Linked DNA regions of Arabidopsis thaliana. The protein of the gene in region 2 interacts with the protein of the main gene of each other region in a pairwise test. Each region holds a gene or a part of one and is shown on either strand. Other genes may lie near its edges. The genes, in order: AT2G45810, DCP5 and PRMT11.

Region 1 (5,948 bases), on a different chromosome or scaffold from region 2:
CTTGGAAAAAGAGAAGAAAACGTCATTCATCAAAGCATGGGAAGAGAGTGAGAAGTCAAAGGCTGAGAACAGGTAAACTTTCATCATCTTCTCACCCAAAGATTACTATTGCTTACAGATCTCTGATGATCTTGAAATGGACAGGGCACAAAAGAAGATCTCTGATGTGCATGCTTGGGAAAATAGCAAGAAAGCAGCCGTAGAAGCTCAACTTAGGAAGATCGAGGAAAAATTAGAGAAGAAAAAAGCGCAGTACGGTGAGAAAATGAAGAACAAAGTAGCTGCAATCCACAAGTTAGCAGAAGAGAAGAGAGCAATGGTTGAAGCTAAAAAAGGAGAAGAGCTTCTCAAAGCTGAAGAAATGGGTGCTAAGTATAGAGCCACTGGTGTAGTACCAAAGGCAACGTGTGGATGTTTCTAAGCCTTTATTGAATTTGTATCTTTGTAACAATTCATCTCTGTTTCTTTCTTCTTCTTTTGTTTTTGTGTGATTCAACAACTCTTTTTAGTTTTTGTTATTTGTTTGGTCGTTTGTGTCTTGTTTACATATTGGGTGATTGTGTGTAAAAGTGAAAGATTAATGGAGTATAATTGTATGAAGCATCAAATCTTGTTTTGCCTTTTGTTTCAGTTGTACGACTTCACATCTGATCTGTAACTCTTAAAATGCTAAGACACTTGACTTGACACACACCAACTATAATCCTTAAACAGTTCAGGCACAGGTGGAGATCTAAAAGCAATAAACAAGCGAATGAAGTTAAAATGTCTTCTTCGGTTTGATCTCACTACTCGGAAATTCCTCTCAAGTCTTCAAGATGAGAGAACATCAAAATGAAAAGGTGAAAAGGTTTCTAAGAACATGAAAATTAGAGATGAGAGAAGACAACTTTAAGGTTCATATCATGCAGCAGAAGAAGTCTTCAATTCAAACCAAATCAAGCCGGTACTGCTTTAAAGGTTTAGACACAATCAACCGCTTCCATCGCCATCAACCACCTATACTGTCTCTTCTTGCCTCAGTACAGTACTCTATGTGTTGCCTTCATCTCTAGAACGAGCTAGTGGCTGCCAAAGCTGAATGATTTGCCTCCTCACTACACCTAAATAACCGCAAACCAAAATCAATGGAAATTTGGTCTATGAGCAATGCAGGTTAGTTCTAATGTCAAGATGCCTAGAGAGGGATTTGTCTCACCGGTTAGTCCATCAATGCCTTGCCGGGTAGAGAATGTACACCAGGTAGAAGTTACTGACAGTAGATTGCCTTGTCGATAAGTGAAGGTATGGGCTTGATTTCAGTTCCAAGTTCTTGCTCTGTCTGATACCTGTTGGAAACCAAATAATTGAGTAAGAAAGCTATAGCATCTATGAAAAGAGAGGCCACACCAGTTGAGAAAAAGAAACACGAACATTTTGAAGCGGTCCTCATAAGTTACCAAATTCACAGCCAACCCAAGGTGTCCAAATCGTCCTGATCTGCCTACCTGGTAATATAATGAAGCAAAAACCCATTCACAATTTGAACAAATAAAACAGAGCAGGTTCTCAAGAAGATAAACCAAAATCGGCTTCCCTTAACATACCCTATGTAGATACGACTCAGAAGTCCTAGGAAAATCGAAATTTATCACCACATTCACAGCTTGAATGTCAATCCCACGTGTAAACAAATCTGCAACAGACAGACATTCCCCGTGAAACATAAACACATTTGTCAATGTTCAAGCACATGAAATACACAAAACGTACCAGTGCAAACAAGATTTCTGCATGCACCATTGCGGAAATCATGGAAAACCCTGTTCCGATGGTCTTGAACCATCTTTGCATGGATATAGAAGCATGAGTAACCAAGTTCTGTAATTTTCTTGGCCAACAGCTCAACACGATTAACAGAGTTGCAAAAGATAATGGATTGGTTTATTTGGAGCTGCAATAGATAAAACAATATTTCCTTTAAAAGATACATCAAGTAGCCAGAAAATAAAACATTGGGGTTTTAAGACTGTAACAAAACTCTGACCTTAGAGAATAGCGTGTTAAGGCAGTGCACCTTCTGTCTCTCTTCAACAAAAGCATAATATTGGGTAACACCCATAAGTGTGAGCTGATCCATGAGATTGATAATGTAAGGCTTCTTGAGATACCGATCCTTGAAAGACTTCACAGTGACAGGAAATGTAGCTGAAAACATCAAAATCTGCCGGCTCTCTGGCAAGAACTGTATCAACTCCTCTATAGAAGGTTGAAATTCTACAGACAAAAGCTTGTCGGCCTGAAAAAAGATGTTTGCGAGTTAAGACCATGAGCTCATGAGGAAAAGAAAATTATTCAATCAAAATCTGCAAATATGAAGCATAAGAGGAATCGATTTTGTTTTAACTTTAGAGAAAGTTATGTTCAGGGAAAAACTAGAAATGTCCTTTTGGGCAAAAATCCAACAATGTTTGTTAATAAGAAAAATCTAGCTCAGGGGTAATAGAATTAGGAACTCACCTCATCCATTACAAGCATGGCACAATCTTTCAAAACACACACACCCTTTTTGGCAAGATCTAATATTCTTCCAGGAGTTCCAACCAGTAAATGGACAGGTTGATACAATCGCATGATATCATCCCTCAGACTGGTACCGCCAGTGGTGACCATAACCTCAATTTTCAAATATTTGGAAAGCTCCTTGCAAACCTGGGATGTCTGAAGGGCGAGCTCTCGGGTTGGAACTAGAATTACGGCTGCATAAGAAAAAAGATCAACAAAAGTACTGAAAACTCAGTAAGAAAGTAGGGTTTCACTGGAAGTTCCACTGATCAACTAACTCACTACAGAGAAAGGTAGGAGATCTTTTAACAGAGAAAAGTTCTAAAAGGAAAGTAAAAAACCTTGAATGACATTGTTCTCTGGATCAATTTTCTCAAGGGTAGGAATGCAGAAGGCACCAGTCTTCCCAGTACCATTTTTGGCTCTAGCAAGAATATCACTACCAGTCAAAGCAATGGGAATGCTTTCTTCCTGAATAGGAGATGGTTTTTCAAAACCCTTCTCATATATTCCCCTAAGCAGATCCCTCTTCAAAAAGTAATCTTCAAATTCATTTCCTTTAGTGGCAGTCACATCCTGAAGACAAGATATGGAAAAACTAAGTTCTAAGGGAACTGCTGTCTTGTCAAAACAAAAATCATATAACTATGCAATCATTCATACCTCTGTCTGGTAACGATTATCTCGTGGTGGCAGCTTTAAGGTTGCTTTCCAGTCTTCATTACTGATAAGCATAAGAAAACACATAACCCGTTAAACATCACAACAAGAGCACCATTCATAATAACCATTCTTCCAAACGAGCACTTACTTAGAATCGCTAATAGCTTCAGATTGAACCGTTTTTTCGACCTCATCTATGTAACTTGGATCACCAGGAAGCTGAGCCCGTCGAGACCATTGTTGTTCTTGCTGCTGCTGTTGTTGTTGTTGTTGCTGCTGCAGTTGCTGTTGCTGTTGAATCTGCTGGGGATAACCTCGCTGAACGTACTGCTGAGCATCAGATTGAGACTGGAGATACTGAGGAGGCTGAGGCTGAGGTTGCTGTGGAAACGGAGTCCGTGACTGAAGGTACTGTTGAGGCTGAGGTGGATTCGGATTCCGTGACTGAAAATTAGGATCCGGACCAGGACCCGCCGCACCAATCCCCGGTGGAAATCTTCCTCTATTATTATTATTATTATTCATCTCGATCTCGAAACAGAGAACTCTAATTCTACCAAGAAATCTTCACAAGCTCACAAATCGTAAATCTAAGAAGAGGCTATAAACAACAATCTGGAGAATGTTAGGTCACACGTAGCTTCGTAAGAGATGATTGATTGATTGATTGATTGGACTCTCTCTCTCGGGGGAGGGCAAGATCGGAATATGCTAACAATTATCCACAAAACCGTTTCCGCCAGAAACTAATCGAGCTTAGCTAAGATGAATAATTTTCTTTTGTCGTCTGGTTGGTTAGTGAGAAAGTGAAAGATACATACACTCGCCGGAGTCGTTGTTGTTGTTTAGGTCGTCAAGTGGATTTTCATTACACGGACAGGCTCTTCTTCAGTTTCACTCACTCTTATCCACATTTATTTCACTAAATTAGCCTTGTACGTTCGTATAATTATGAAATAACCCCCACATTTCTTTGTATTTATCATTATTCTCTCGTAATTTTTAAAAATAGATCTTCGGATCTTCCGCAAACAGAGCGTACGGCTGAAAACGTCGATACCCTTCATTGTGCTCGGAGTCTAAAATTGTAAAATTGAAATTAGAATTTTGATGATCGACAATGATTGAATGGCTTCTCCTCTTTCGAATCTCTACCACTAGAACCAAAATTACCACAAATTCTCATTTCTTCAAGAATTTTTGATAAATAAGACAGAGAACTTGAGAGATGAAAAGAAAAAAACACAAAACCTGGTGTTTTTTCTCTCGTCGTCGTTTGGTCGTGTCCTAAGACAAGAACCGGCGAACGAAGAACAAACTTTTTGAATCTAACATCCGAAAGAAAGAGAGAAAATGTCGTTTACAGGAACATTGGATAAATGCAAGGCCTGTGACAAAACCGTGTACGTGATGGATTTGTTAACATTAGAGGGTAATACTTATCACAAATCATGTTTCAGATGCACCCATTGCAAAGGCACTCTCGTGGTATTTCTCTTTTCTTCTTCTTCCTCCATTGTTACTCTGTTTTTCGACAATGCTTCATTGTTTTAAAAGACCACATCTTTTCTTAACACAGATAAGCAATTACTCATCAATGGATGGAGTTCTTTACTGTAAGCCACACTTCGAACAGCTTTTCAAAGAATCTGGCAATTACAGCAAGAATTTTCAGGCAGGAAAGACCGAGAAGCCCAATGATCATCTGGTAATGTCTTCAAAGATTCATCATCTTGTTTTTATTTCCTCTTTTTTTTCATCTGATTTGTCTCAATTGATGGATACTGCAAGACTCGAACTCCAAGCAAGTTATCATCATTCTTCAGTGGAACACAAGACAAATGTGCGACTTGTAAGAAGACGGTTTACCCACTTGAGAAAGTAACAATGGAAGGAGAAAGTTACCACAAGACTTGCTTCAGGTGCACACACAGTGGTTGTCCTTTGACTCACTCTTCTTACGCTTCTCTTAATGGCGTCCTCTACTGTAAAGTCCACTTCAATCAGCTCTTTCTCGAGAAAGGCAGTTACAATCACGTCCATCAAGCCGCTGCTAACCACCGTCGATCCGCCTCTTCTGGTGGCGCTTCTCCTCCTTCTGATGATCACAAACCTGACGACACCGCCTCAATTCCCGAAGCAAAAGAAGATGACGCTGCCCCTGAAGCTGCAGGAGAAGAGGAGCCTGAGCCGGTCGTTGAGTCTTGAAAATGTCGTGGAGGAATGATCTTATCAGTTCTCAAGTTTGAAGTTTTTATATGCGTTTCTGTTTAATGAATATATAAATACAAATTGTTGTTGTTTCTTCTTGTAAATTCTTGTAAAGTTTTAAAGCTCTTTTTGGAGAGAATCTGTTGTAAACAAAATCTTTAACATCCAATTTTTTTTGAAGAGGATATTTTTAACCTTTAGTTTTAAAACTTTGAGGACCATGTTCTGAAACAAAAGGTTATAACAAGATATTTTATTTGATGAATCAAAATTCAAAACATACGGTATAGATAGCATTCAAACACACTTCTCTCCATTTCTTGTAATCAAGAGTTGTGAGATTTCGCCAAAGAAGAATCAAACTCTTGACACTGTGTTCTTGAGATGAGTAGTGTTTCAAGACATGAACAGAGCCTTGCATTTTGCCACTGTGTCATCTGGACTCGTAACTGCAACAACAGAAACAATCCTATTTGTCATGAAAATATCTCGCAACACAAACATACAGAGATTAAACGATAATATATCCA
Region 2 (5,872 bases):
TACCTTCTCCACTTACAAGAATGAAGCCAATCACCATCAGCAGAGGATGAAGAGTCTACAAGGGTATAAAAACTTTATTAGAGAGAGAAAGAGAGAGAGAGAGAGAGATCCAATTTGATATCAACGAGGAAGGGAGTGTGATAGTTACAGAGTAGCTGAGTCCTAGATTAGGCAGGAAGAGAGCCCAGTACAGAACCGAAACTGCGACTACTAAACCGGACAGTCTCGCAAACAAGACCAATGATAGTCTTGAAGGATCTACACTTCCCATTTCTGTTTTCTCTCTTCAAAAGTTGAGTAAGTAGTGCTACTGTAGAGTACAGTGACTACAGTCTCTCAGACACTAGAGTTGCCGACAAAATGATAATTTGAGAAATAGAGAGGACATTTTATGGATCTTGTATAAAGAAGACCTCTCTATCTCTTAATAAGGCCCATTTGATTCAAGGCTGCTGGTACTGTATTGAAAGTCAAAATGTTTGACTTTTGAAATTTAGACAAGAAGCTACCAACAGTAAACAGCAACAAGCTATTGAGAGTAAATAGAAAATGCATTTCACACCAAATGTCGAGTATACAAAAGTTCAAAATAACATTGGATATAAGAAGAACGACGCTATTACCAAGTCTTAAAAACAAAGATCAGAAATCAAATTAATACACTCCAAAACCACACAAGTGGGGTTTTATAACAGAAAACATTACACGGGACTCGGTTTTTGTTTTATTGCCACATACCAAAAGCACTCAAGAGCTGAGCTCCCATTGGATTTTGAGTCTTTAGAGCCCTTTCTAGCAGAACAGTTTAGGTAGTACGATTTGATACGCCTCTCCCCTGGCCACGTCCACCATACCCGTAGCCACCGCCGCCGCCGCCACGGCCACCATAACCGCCATAACCACGCCCTCCATAACCACCACGTGAGTAACCGTTGTTTCGTCCATAACCACCACGCCCTCCTCGACCTCCTCGGAATCTCGAGAATTCACCAAATGTCTGAAATCATAGCAATACGTTCTGTTAGTCAATGGGATTCTCTTACGATTCTGGGAATTCGAGTATCTCCAGCAACGAGGGGGGACAAACTCTGTCCAGTCTGCTTGCTATTCAGAGTGTGGAAATATATAGATTGTACCTCAGTATCTAGTTTCCGTTGCTCTGAGAACCTAGGCCTTGAATTTTGGGACTCTCGGTCAATGGTGTTTGATGATAGGCTATCGAAAAAGTCATCTTTGTTGTAAACAGGCTACATCAATAAACAATGTGGATGAGACCAGAGAGGGAGAATATGGTGGCTTTACTTGATTATAAGTCTACTTCACTTACTTTGGCCTCGATCTTAGGAAGCTCAGCCTCATCTACAGTCGGGGAATCATCATCTTCATCACCATCTAAGGTAGTACTCTTCCCAAGATGACCCCATACTTCATCCTTATTGAACTTTTCGTTCATTGCTGTGAAATCAAAATCTTCAGTGAATTTCATTACTTGGTGTGATCTCTGCCAACAAGAAGAATTATTAGCATACATGGCTAAAGTTCATGAGCTATTTTAAACTGGTAGATCTTTTCCTTGGTAAAAACAAATAAATGCCGTCACATTCTACAAATGAGTGAGAAGAATAGTACCCCTGCTCCTCTTCCTCGTCCTCTTCCACGTCCCCTGTAACCATTATGATTTGGGAAAGAATGCCCGTTTGGCTGAGAAAAAAAATCAGCAATTGAGTTTAAATAATTTCACCATGAAGACTTATAAGTAGACATGCAAAGAAACCATCTTATACACCAAAGAACCCTGAGAGATTTTCATGCATCTTCAACAAAGCAAAAGAGACACAGCATGGAATATTAAAATGGGAATTACCACAGGTGCAGTTATAACAGTTACACCTTATTCCAGCTAACTAAGACACCAGCAAATTCAAGGTTCTTTATGATATTAATAAGAGACATTGAAGGATTTGGCATGTTATGTAAGTTAAAAACCTTCTGAGTTGGTCTTGCAGAGGAAGGCAATGGCAGTATTGGAGGTTGGGCTTCGGATGTAACTGGAACAGATTGTTCCAACCCAGCTGATGACGATACTTGAACCACCTCAACATCTTTATCAGCATTTGTCGAGGGTGGGGACAAAGAGACTGCAGAAGATCCAGACTGCAGCAGTTGACCAGGAGTAACCAACAAAGGTTTTGGCTTATCTTGGCTAATGGAACTAGAAACTCCCGCAACAGGAGCAGATGTTAATGGTGTTGTCTGCGGCGGAGAAATTGGACCAGTTACTACACTAGGCTTGTTAGACAGTGGAAGGCCAGTACTTGCTTCTGTGGCTCTCGTAGTAGATAGAGAAAACGAAAGCAAATTAGTATCCTGAGGTAGGGTAGGAGGAGCAGTAATAGGAGCTTTGTTTGACAGCAACGGAGGTGCCATCTCTGAAGCTAGTGAAGGAGATGGTGCTGATTGCAGTGTAGACTGCAGGCTAGACGAGAGCGTCACAGGTGGTAGACCAGGGAAAGGCAATGAACTAGGAGCTAACATTTGAGAACTGGTACTAAAAGGAAACAATGAAGAGGGTGCTTCTGGCAAGCTTGACCCCTGCAAAGATGATGACCCAGTAGGTGGAGGAGGGGTATTAAAGTTAGGATATTGCAGGGGTTGCTGAAGAGAGTTGGGCATTGGCAGCCCATGAGGGGGTCGAATCAGAGACTGCTGATGCAATTGGGGAAGGCCATTGGGAGGTGGGGTGTAGAAACCTTGCCAATACATTGGTGGTTGTGGTGACGCTCCCCATGAACCAAGATTTCCACCAGGCTGATACAAAGGCATTGCGTTTTGAAATCCCATTCCATGTTGTCCAGGTTGTCCATTATGAGAACTAATGTCAGGTAGTGACCCGCTCGCAGTAGAAGGCAAGCTACCAGATGTTGGCATCGGGCTAGGGTAGTGAGACTGCAAAACCAAGACAAGTGGAGGATGGGGTTACATCAATTGACTCCAAAATCCCAGACAATGTAATCTTACAACTTTTCTAACATTCACCTGAATTATAGCAGGGTCATTATTTATAGTAGATGCAGGAGGCTGAACTGGTGGAGAAGCTTTGACTTGCAAATCCTACCAACAACAAGAACAATCAGAGTACAAAATCGGCAGGCTACTTACATAGAAGTATTAGCATAATCCTGCTGAATACCTTGATATCAGTTCCACGGAACAATATGTACTCGTAAACTTTGTCACTTGGAGGAACTTGTGGACCATCTTTTTTCCTTCCTTCAGTTCCAAATGATCGAACTACACACAACAAAAGTTCAGGGATCAGAACCAAAATCTACCTCATCGACCACTTAAACACTGATCTTTTATGCTCAACCAATAGTTTCAAGACATCAATTACAATTTGAGAACTCAAGTAATAGACATGAGCACTAAAACAACATTCCTTTCAAATCGAGCTAAACAGTTCAGATTGGAGAAAACTTTCTTAACGATTAACGGAAGAAACCATTAGTTTCTACCAAATCCGAGAGAAAACACCACCAAAATTAACACTTAACAAATCTGGTAATCCCGAAACGGAAGTGGAAACGGATCGTACCGTTTTGAAGTCCGATACTGGATTCATCTGTATTAATATTGTAAAGGATCCCTTCGTATCTGATCTCACTCTTAGATGTCAAACTAATCAAGCTCCCAACGTAAGAATCCGCAGCGGAGCTCGATTTCGAACCCGTATTATCAGCCGCCATATCCGATCTATGTCTCTCTTCGCCGACGAAATCACAGCCAAAGAGAGAAAAAACTAAAAGACAAGAGAAGGCAAACACACACACACACACTTCGAGTTCCTTGATCTCCTTCTTCTTCTTCTTCTTCGCGAGAGAGAGAGAGAGAGAGAGAGAGAAAGCTACAGATACACAATTAGGGTTTACTCTAATTTGGGGAGATCGAGCATCTCTTTTTTATTATCCATTCCCATAAAAGCCCAATTCAGAAAATAATATCAATCTGACCATTATAGCCTAGTATGGCTCCATTGACTTCTCTCTAATCACTAACCGAAGTATGCCTCGTGTACACGCGAAGGGTTTATTTCGTAATTCACCGCCAATGGTGTGTTTAGGCGAGTAGCTACGAGCCTACTCGAGCCATTCCAATCCCACGGCTCGTGTTCTGATTGCTTACTCTGGTTAGAGTTTATTATTTTATTTTGGTAGGATGGTTAGAGCTTATTATTTACATATTAATCCTAGTATCAAATCTAGTGTTATTCATAAATTAAAAGGCCTTTTAAAAAATGAATTTTGAGAAATATTTTTGGTGATTTCACCTACATTTTTAGTTGAAAATTGGGGTTAAGAAAATCACACCTTTTTTTGTCAAGAAAATCACACCTTTTTTTCTCAAGAAAATCACACCTTTGGAGAGTTTTAATTATTAAAAAAAAAATCAGACCTACATTTCTTCCTTGTTAAATGACACTGGTTCGGCACTTTGTATATAGGTAGAGAAGTCAACTGATGCCAAGAAAATAGTGCAACCAATGATTAATGATCAGAGAAGAAGAAGACCAAAGACAGTTTAATTAAGGTGACAAAGTCAATGAAGCCTTGTTTCTTTAATGCACTTTCAGTGTTCTACAAAAACACAAACAGGCAATGACGAAATAATCAGTGTATTTGCAAACCGGGATACAATATCATCATCATCAAAGTTCAAAATCATCTGTATCGTCAAAGTATAGTGGGATCTGTTTTCCTTGTTAAGTAATATGCACATTGACCCGTCTGTATCACTGGAAGAAGGAATGTACTTCCTTTGATCTTCTGGGAGATAAGAGTGTAGGAGTTAGAACGGACTGACCCAGTGAGCCAACTTCAACATGAATTCAGGTACAAGACGCCTTCTATCTACGCTTTTACCAATCGCTTCTTGATCGTCTCCCAGAACCACTGTTACTATATCTTCAAACATCTCATCTATTCCACCTCTCATTGGATCCTAACATAGATAACCAAGTTTCTAGATCAAAATTCAGGTTCTTGTCCGACAAGACATTCATACCTCAAAAAGACCGGCCATTTTACCTGAAGAAACAAATCCGTGTGTGTTTTCCCCTCGTAAAGGATCACTTTTGCTTTGGCCCCAAGCCTCTGGAGGGTTTCCGCAAAAGATTTACTGCAAAGATAGTGTAATAGAAGTTCAATCATCATCTTAACTTTCTGATATACATAAGACAGACAAATACACACAAAAGTTAAACCATACCTTGCATCTGACGGGATGGAGTAGTCATCAGTACCATGGAATAAAATAAAAGGTGGGAGACGAGCAATGATGTGTTTGAGATTCGGGTTTTGCACTACTAATTCAGGAGAGAACTGCCTTAATGATTCCTCTCCTTCCATGATGCTGAGGAAAATCAAACGTCACACGTTAAACTGTAAAAATTTCAGGCTGCTCTACTGGCCAGGTGAGTAACGTAAGCTATACCAAGATTCCAAAAGAGAAAATGCTATACCTCAGAAAGATGGAACGGTACAGCCCCCTGCTATGGAAGTGGTCCACAAGGTTCAAAAGGTTGTATCTGTAGATCACGATCACAAAGTTTGTTAAGAATAGCCAAGCAGATGATGTGAGGCCTCATCAAAAAATTTGTTGCTTTAGTTGGGTAGAAGGCAGGAATCTACTTGCTACTTTGAGCTAATATTTGACCATTACTTCACCGTTCTACGAATTGCCTAGCATTTCTACAAAAGACCTTGGTGGCTAGATAAAAACTGGAGTTAACACATATATAAATACTCAGGCAATTAAAGAAACTTGTTTTTCTCAACTTCTTGACAGAAAAATTTACATTCCAATGTATCGTCTT
Region 3 (4,558 bases), on a different chromosome or scaffold from region 2:
AAAAGATGCTGAAATGGACAAGATTTTGAGATCTATGCAGGTAATCTTTGATGACGTCAATCAATACCACTAAGCAAGGAATGCATATCCATGGAATGATCTTAAGCTTACTCTTTACCGCTATGTTCAGGGTATGCCAGGAGCACCTGGCATGAAGGTATACTCTAGAGAAGATATAGAGAAGGGGAATATCGGTAATGAAGATGATGATGGCGACGATGATGAAGATGAGGAAGAAGATGATAAGTTTCCCAAGAACTTGGTACATAAAGTTTCTTTTTTCAAATGATCAAATCTTTGGGTTAAACTTTCATGAAGAAGAAGGAAACCGAGATCTTTCTTTCTTTTCTCTAAAACACTTGTATGGTTTTGTTGGTTTTTAGGGAAAAGTTTTGAAAGAGAAAGAGAGTAAAACAGAAGAATTGAAGAAGACAATCACTAAGGAGTTCAAGAAGAAAGGTGAGGCTCTGAAGAGACATGCACAGAAAGTGTCAAACCGGGTCCGGAGATGGTGGAAAGGACTTGGATCGTCTTCTTCAAAGAAACCTAAATCCGGAAAGTCTGAGCTATAGAAACAGTTTTAAACTGGTTTTGTTTAATGTACTCTTTCTTCACACTTGCTTTTTGTAGATTTCCTTTAGTTTCTATAATCTTTTGGAGAGAATATTGAAAAGTGTTGACAGACATCAGTTTTGTGATCAACAAGGAACATACACGAGATGGTTTAGAGCAAAATCATTAATTTAACTTGAGATGAAGCAAATGTTGCAATGTGAAGCAAATGGAAAGTTGTAATCTGGAGAAAAAGAAATATAAAAACTAAATCACAATATGAGAATTGTATCTTCTGAAGTTCTGCTTCTTATGAGAGAACTTTAACGCATTTTGTAGTGTTGGGTCCTTGAGATCTTGCAATGCTGGCCATTCAAAGAATAGCTTAGCTTTATGTCAATGTCTCGAGGATTCTTCTTGTTAGGAGAAACGGACATAGTTCCAGTGATTGTCTCACCCTCACATATGGTTAACACATCTTCTAGATACAGAACTGTTTGTTTCCAGTGTGTAGCTCGGGATTTCGGTCCTGCATGTGACACATATGGTTGTTCAGTGCAAGTTTCAGATCATAATGAAACAATGTGCTATGTTTAAACTTCAAACCAAGTTATTCGATAACATGCCATTTCTTTGCACCAAAAAAAAATAGAATACTCAGAGCTAGCACAAGATTGTAGAGATCTGAACCTGTTGAGAAGCCCAGCAGCTTGTGGCACATGGTAAACGATACATCAAAGTAGGCTACAAGGGCGTGGATGTAGTCATTGCGTTGTGCAACAAGCTTAAAGGGAGCTGTGAAGGAAGCATCACCAGAGGACATCTTTGAGATATCCATCGTCTGTTACAAACCCATAAGAATAATGAAATGAACATTAGTCACACAGGTAAAGAGATACTACTAATCATCATCATATGATATCTTATATACCTTTAGAAGCCTACTATCGGTGACGATTTGGTTTTGGTCGACTGTGTCAACAAGTGGTTCCATCATAGCTTTTTTCTTAATACATGACATGTCAAAACCATACACACTGTTCCAAACTGTAGCAGAACAACAAAAAAGAAATTAAAAATGCAAATCTCAACAGACATCAAGATCAATGTTGGAAAAAAAAAGACGAGAAAACGTGTCAAATCAATGCACTCACATTCGATTTTGTCTTCTTTGTACTCTGAATCCTCTATGGCTGTAAGATGCAGAGAGGCTTTGTCTGGTAGCACAACTCCACCTTCAACCTATCCATAAAAACACAGGACCAAGAAGATTTCATTTAATTGGTTTTGGTAACTAAGAATCTCATGTAACAAGGTGGAGCTGTAACTTACAAGCCATTTATCACGAGCATACAAGACACTGTCCAACATATTTTCAAACAACAAAAAGTAACCCATCCATTCCGATATAATCACATCCACTTTAGGAGTGGGAAGCTCTATCTCCTCAATCTTCCCTTTCAATACCGTAATAACTGCATCGATAAAACAAAAATCATGTTACAGAACAGAAGTTATCGATTTGAATACAACTCAACATGGATAAAAGACCTACCATCAGAAAATCCATTAGCTTTAACAATCTCCTTTGCCATGTCAGCCATTTGAGAACACTCAACCTATTAAGAAACATCCTCAATCAAATCAGTCAAAATTGAAAAAGATTCTTCTTACTTATGATTATTAAAAAAGAGACTGAAAGATTGAAGACATACAGCGTAGACATGAGCAGCTCCTGCCTTGGCACAGAACAGAGACAAAATTCCGGTTCCAGCTCCAACATCAAGAACAATTTTGTCCTTGATAAGAAACTTGTTCTGATAAATAACATTCTGATAAGTCTTTGTTCTCACAACATCCTTCAACATCTCCTGTCAGATACCATTCTCAATTCAGTCATCAGATATATACAGAAGAAAACACAATGAATTACATTAAACTTCTAGAACAAAAACTATAACAAAAAAAACTGAGCTTTGTCCTCGATACTTACTTCATGGATTCCTGCAAAAAAAAGTGGAACCAAATTCAACTCTTAGTAAGAATTCATAACCAAAGAGCACAAGGAAAAAAATAGAACTTGAAAAAAGGGAATTTACCAAAGTGAGAGTAAGAATCGAAGTAGTAATCGGCACTGGTGGTATCATCAGTTACTTCAGCGGTGTCGGCGCTCTCTCCGGCGTCGAACATGGACTCATCTTGGGGAGTTTCCTCGCCGGCAACACCAGACCCTTCAGCAACTTCGTCTTCATCAGCATCTTCAAAGCGTATCTTCGTGTTCTGATTTGGTTCAAAGCTGATGAACTCATTCTCGTCGTGGTTACTGTTCTTAGTCATCTTTTTTTCTCGGTCTCACACAAGAAGGAAGAGAGGAAAGGGTTTTTGGGGATAGAGACGAAGTCGCGAGATTAGGGTTTTATGAAGACACGAAGCTTTTAATTTGAAGTTTTTTTTTTCTCTCTTGTTAATGAATTTTATATTAGAACTAAAATTGTGCTCAAGATATTTTCTGTACCGGTTCGGTTTTCGTCGACAAGCACCAAACCGGTTAGATTTTATCTGTCCACTTGAACATTCAATCGGTTTAATATCCAACCACACAAACAAGACACTGAAACAAAATAAACTACATGTACAAGATTAGTAAAACACAGGCAATTTTTCCTTATTCCCATTAACAAAAATAAAGGTTGTATTATTGAGTTTTACTTATCAAGTTTTTAATTTCCATAAGCTGCCTAAGAGTAGCTACGATCACTTGGTCGGTGGCCAAGGCCCTCCAGCCATCACAGCTTCGATCTCCCATGTCTCTCGTGGAACATTCGTCATGTTCTTGCAGCCATTAGCAGTAACGACCTAAAAAAGAAATCACACATATACAACAAAATGAGATTATTGTATATGACATTACTCTTGAGAGTGTTTTAACTTGTAGACGTTGTAGTGAATATGAATTTGACATTACCAAATCGCTTTCGATTCTGACACCTCCGAAATTTCTGAATCTCTCTATTGTTTCACGGTTGAAGAACTTAGAGGTTGTTGCGTTTGCCATGGCTGGGAACAGCAATGCCTTGATGAAATAGCATCCTGGTTCCACCGTTATTACCTGACATAAATACGATTAGGACAATGAACAGAGACGATAAATGAGAAGAACCAAAAGCATTTCTACTTGAAACAATCGGCCCTTACCATTCCTTCAAGTAGGTCTCTTGCAGTTCGTAATGACTTCAATCCAGGTTTCTTTGGTCTCTCCACTCCCTAAAAGAATGAAAGATCAAAGCAACGGGTAAGACACAGGGACTGTGGTTTTATTTACGTGATGATACTATTGGGTTGAAAAAAGATTTGATGTACCTTTGGGTAGCCACCAGTATCGTGAGTGTCGATGCCCATGAAGTGACCTAGTCCATGAGGCATGAAAACAGCACCCAAGCGCTGTACCATCATGTCATCTACATCACTAGGAACAGAGAACGAAACCATGAGAATGAATTAACCTTTAGAGAAGAGTATTGAAATGTCTAACACAGAGAGAATTACCCAGTGAGTATGGACCCCTTCTTCAGTGACTCAAGGATGATTTTTTCAGCTAACCTGTACATTAATTTGCTTCAGTCGACAAAGAAAGCTGAATAACCATATGGAGATGTATTTCAATTTATCTCCCTAACAAGAGGATAAATCAAAATGGACCAAAGCAACTGAGTTTACGCTTACATTGTCAATCCCAATTACTGCATCTGCATGCATAGTAGAACAGAGCTATATAGCATCTCAGTAAGACTTACTTGTGCATATCCACCCAGTTTACTCCTGGCTTCATCGCAGAGATTACAGAATTATGTGCATCCAGAACAGCCTGAAAGGAAGGCAAAATCAGAGAAACTTATTCAGATGTAAAGCTTCAAGAGACTCACCAAACTCTGGATTGTGCGAAGACAAAAAATAGAGCACACATTTCTAATACATCCACGTTGCACCAATCTTGTAAGGCACTTAC

What was found.
Region 1: the proteins of DCP5 (region 2) and AT2G45810 interact in a two-hybrid assay, tested with the Arabidopsis thaliana proteins (one large-scale study listed by BioGRID).
Region 3: the proteins of DCP5 (region 2) and PRMT11 interact in a two-hybrid assay, tested with the Arabidopsis thaliana proteins (one large-scale study listed by BioGRID).

Annotation. Positions count from the first base shown.
Region 1 is NC_003071.7:18,857,620-18,863,567, reverse strand, and holds AT2G45810 (DEA(D/H)-box RNA helicase family protein), read right to left. Parts: upstream 4,097-5,948; 5' UTR 3,733-4,096; coding exon 3,356-3,732; intron 3,269-3,355; coding exon 3,208-3,268; intron 3,121-3,207; coding exon 2,886-3,120; intron 2,739-2,885; coding exon 2,500-2,738; intron 2,279-2,499; coding exon 2,027-2,278; intron 1,934-2,026; coding exon 1,753-1,933; intron 1,676-1,752; coding exon 1,587-1,675; intron 1,488-1,586; coding exon 1,414-1,487; intron 1,329-1,413; coding exon 1,250-1,328; 3' UTR 1,199-1,249; intron 1,104-1,198; 3' UTR 598-1,103; downstream 1-597. Other genes in the region: AT2G45820 (Remorin family protein), read left to right, coding at 1-72, 145-421; PLIM2a (GATA type zinc finger transcription factor family protein), read left to right, coding at 4,561-4,695, 4,787-4,915, 4,999-5,415; PMM (phosphomannomutase), read right to left, coding at 5,815-5,867. UniProt on the Arabidopsis thaliana protein: ATP-dependent RNA helicase involved in mRNA turnover, and more specifically in mRNA decapping.
Region 2 is NC_003070.9:9,023,811-9,029,682, forward strand, and holds DCP5 (decapping 5), read right to left. Parts: upstream 4,146-5,872; 5' UTR 3,747-4,145; coding exon 3,596-3,746; intron 3,292-3,595; coding exon 3,191-3,291; intron 3,112-3,190; coding exon 3,037-3,111; intron 2,947-3,036; coding exon 1,987-2,946; intron 1,815-1,986; coding exon of another isoform or gene 1,795-1,814; intron 1,702-1,794; coding exon 1,630-1,701; intron 1,502-1,629; coding exon 1,328-1,501; intron 1,248-1,327; coding exon 1,137-1,247; intron 998-1,136; coding exon 806-997; 3' UTR 531-805; downstream 1-530. Other genes in the region: AT1G26100 (Cytochrome b561/ferric reductase transmembrane protein family), read right to left, coding at 4-55, 149-271; ICME-LIKE1 (alpha/beta-Hydrolases superfamily protein), read right to left, coding at 4,846-4,998, 5,085-5,175, 5,266-5,409, 5,519-5,584. UniProt on the Arabidopsis thaliana protein: As a component of the decapping complex, involved in the degradation of mRNAs. Promotes P-body formation. Translational repressor.
Region 3 is NC_003075.7:14,490,070-14,494,627, reverse strand, and holds PRMT11 (arginine methyltransferase 11), read right to left. Parts: upstream 3,007-4,558; 5' UTR 2,890-3,006; coding exon 2,652-2,889; intron 2,557-2,651; coding exon 2,546-2,556; intron 2,424-2,545; coding exon 2,268-2,423; intron 2,172-2,267; coding exon 2,108-2,171; intron 2,028-2,107; coding exon 1,885-2,027; intron 1,795-1,884; coding exon 1,707-1,794; intron 1,600-1,706; coding exon 1,484-1,599; intron 1,394-1,483; coding exon 1,243-1,393; intron 1,082-1,242; coding exon 876-1,081; 3' UTR 627-875; downstream 1-626. Other genes in the region: AT4G29520 (nucleophosmin), read left to right, coding at 1-40, 131-262, 384-572; AT4G29490 (Metallopeptidase M24 family protein), read right to left, coding at 3,307-3,408, 3,518-3,661, 3,748-3,816, 3,913-4,018, 4,099-4,152, 4,347-4,417. UniProt on the Arabidopsis thaliana protein: Methylates (mono and asymmetric dimethylation) the guanidino nitrogens of arginyl residues present in a glycine and arginine-rich domain. Type I arginine methyltransferase active on both histones and non-histone proteins.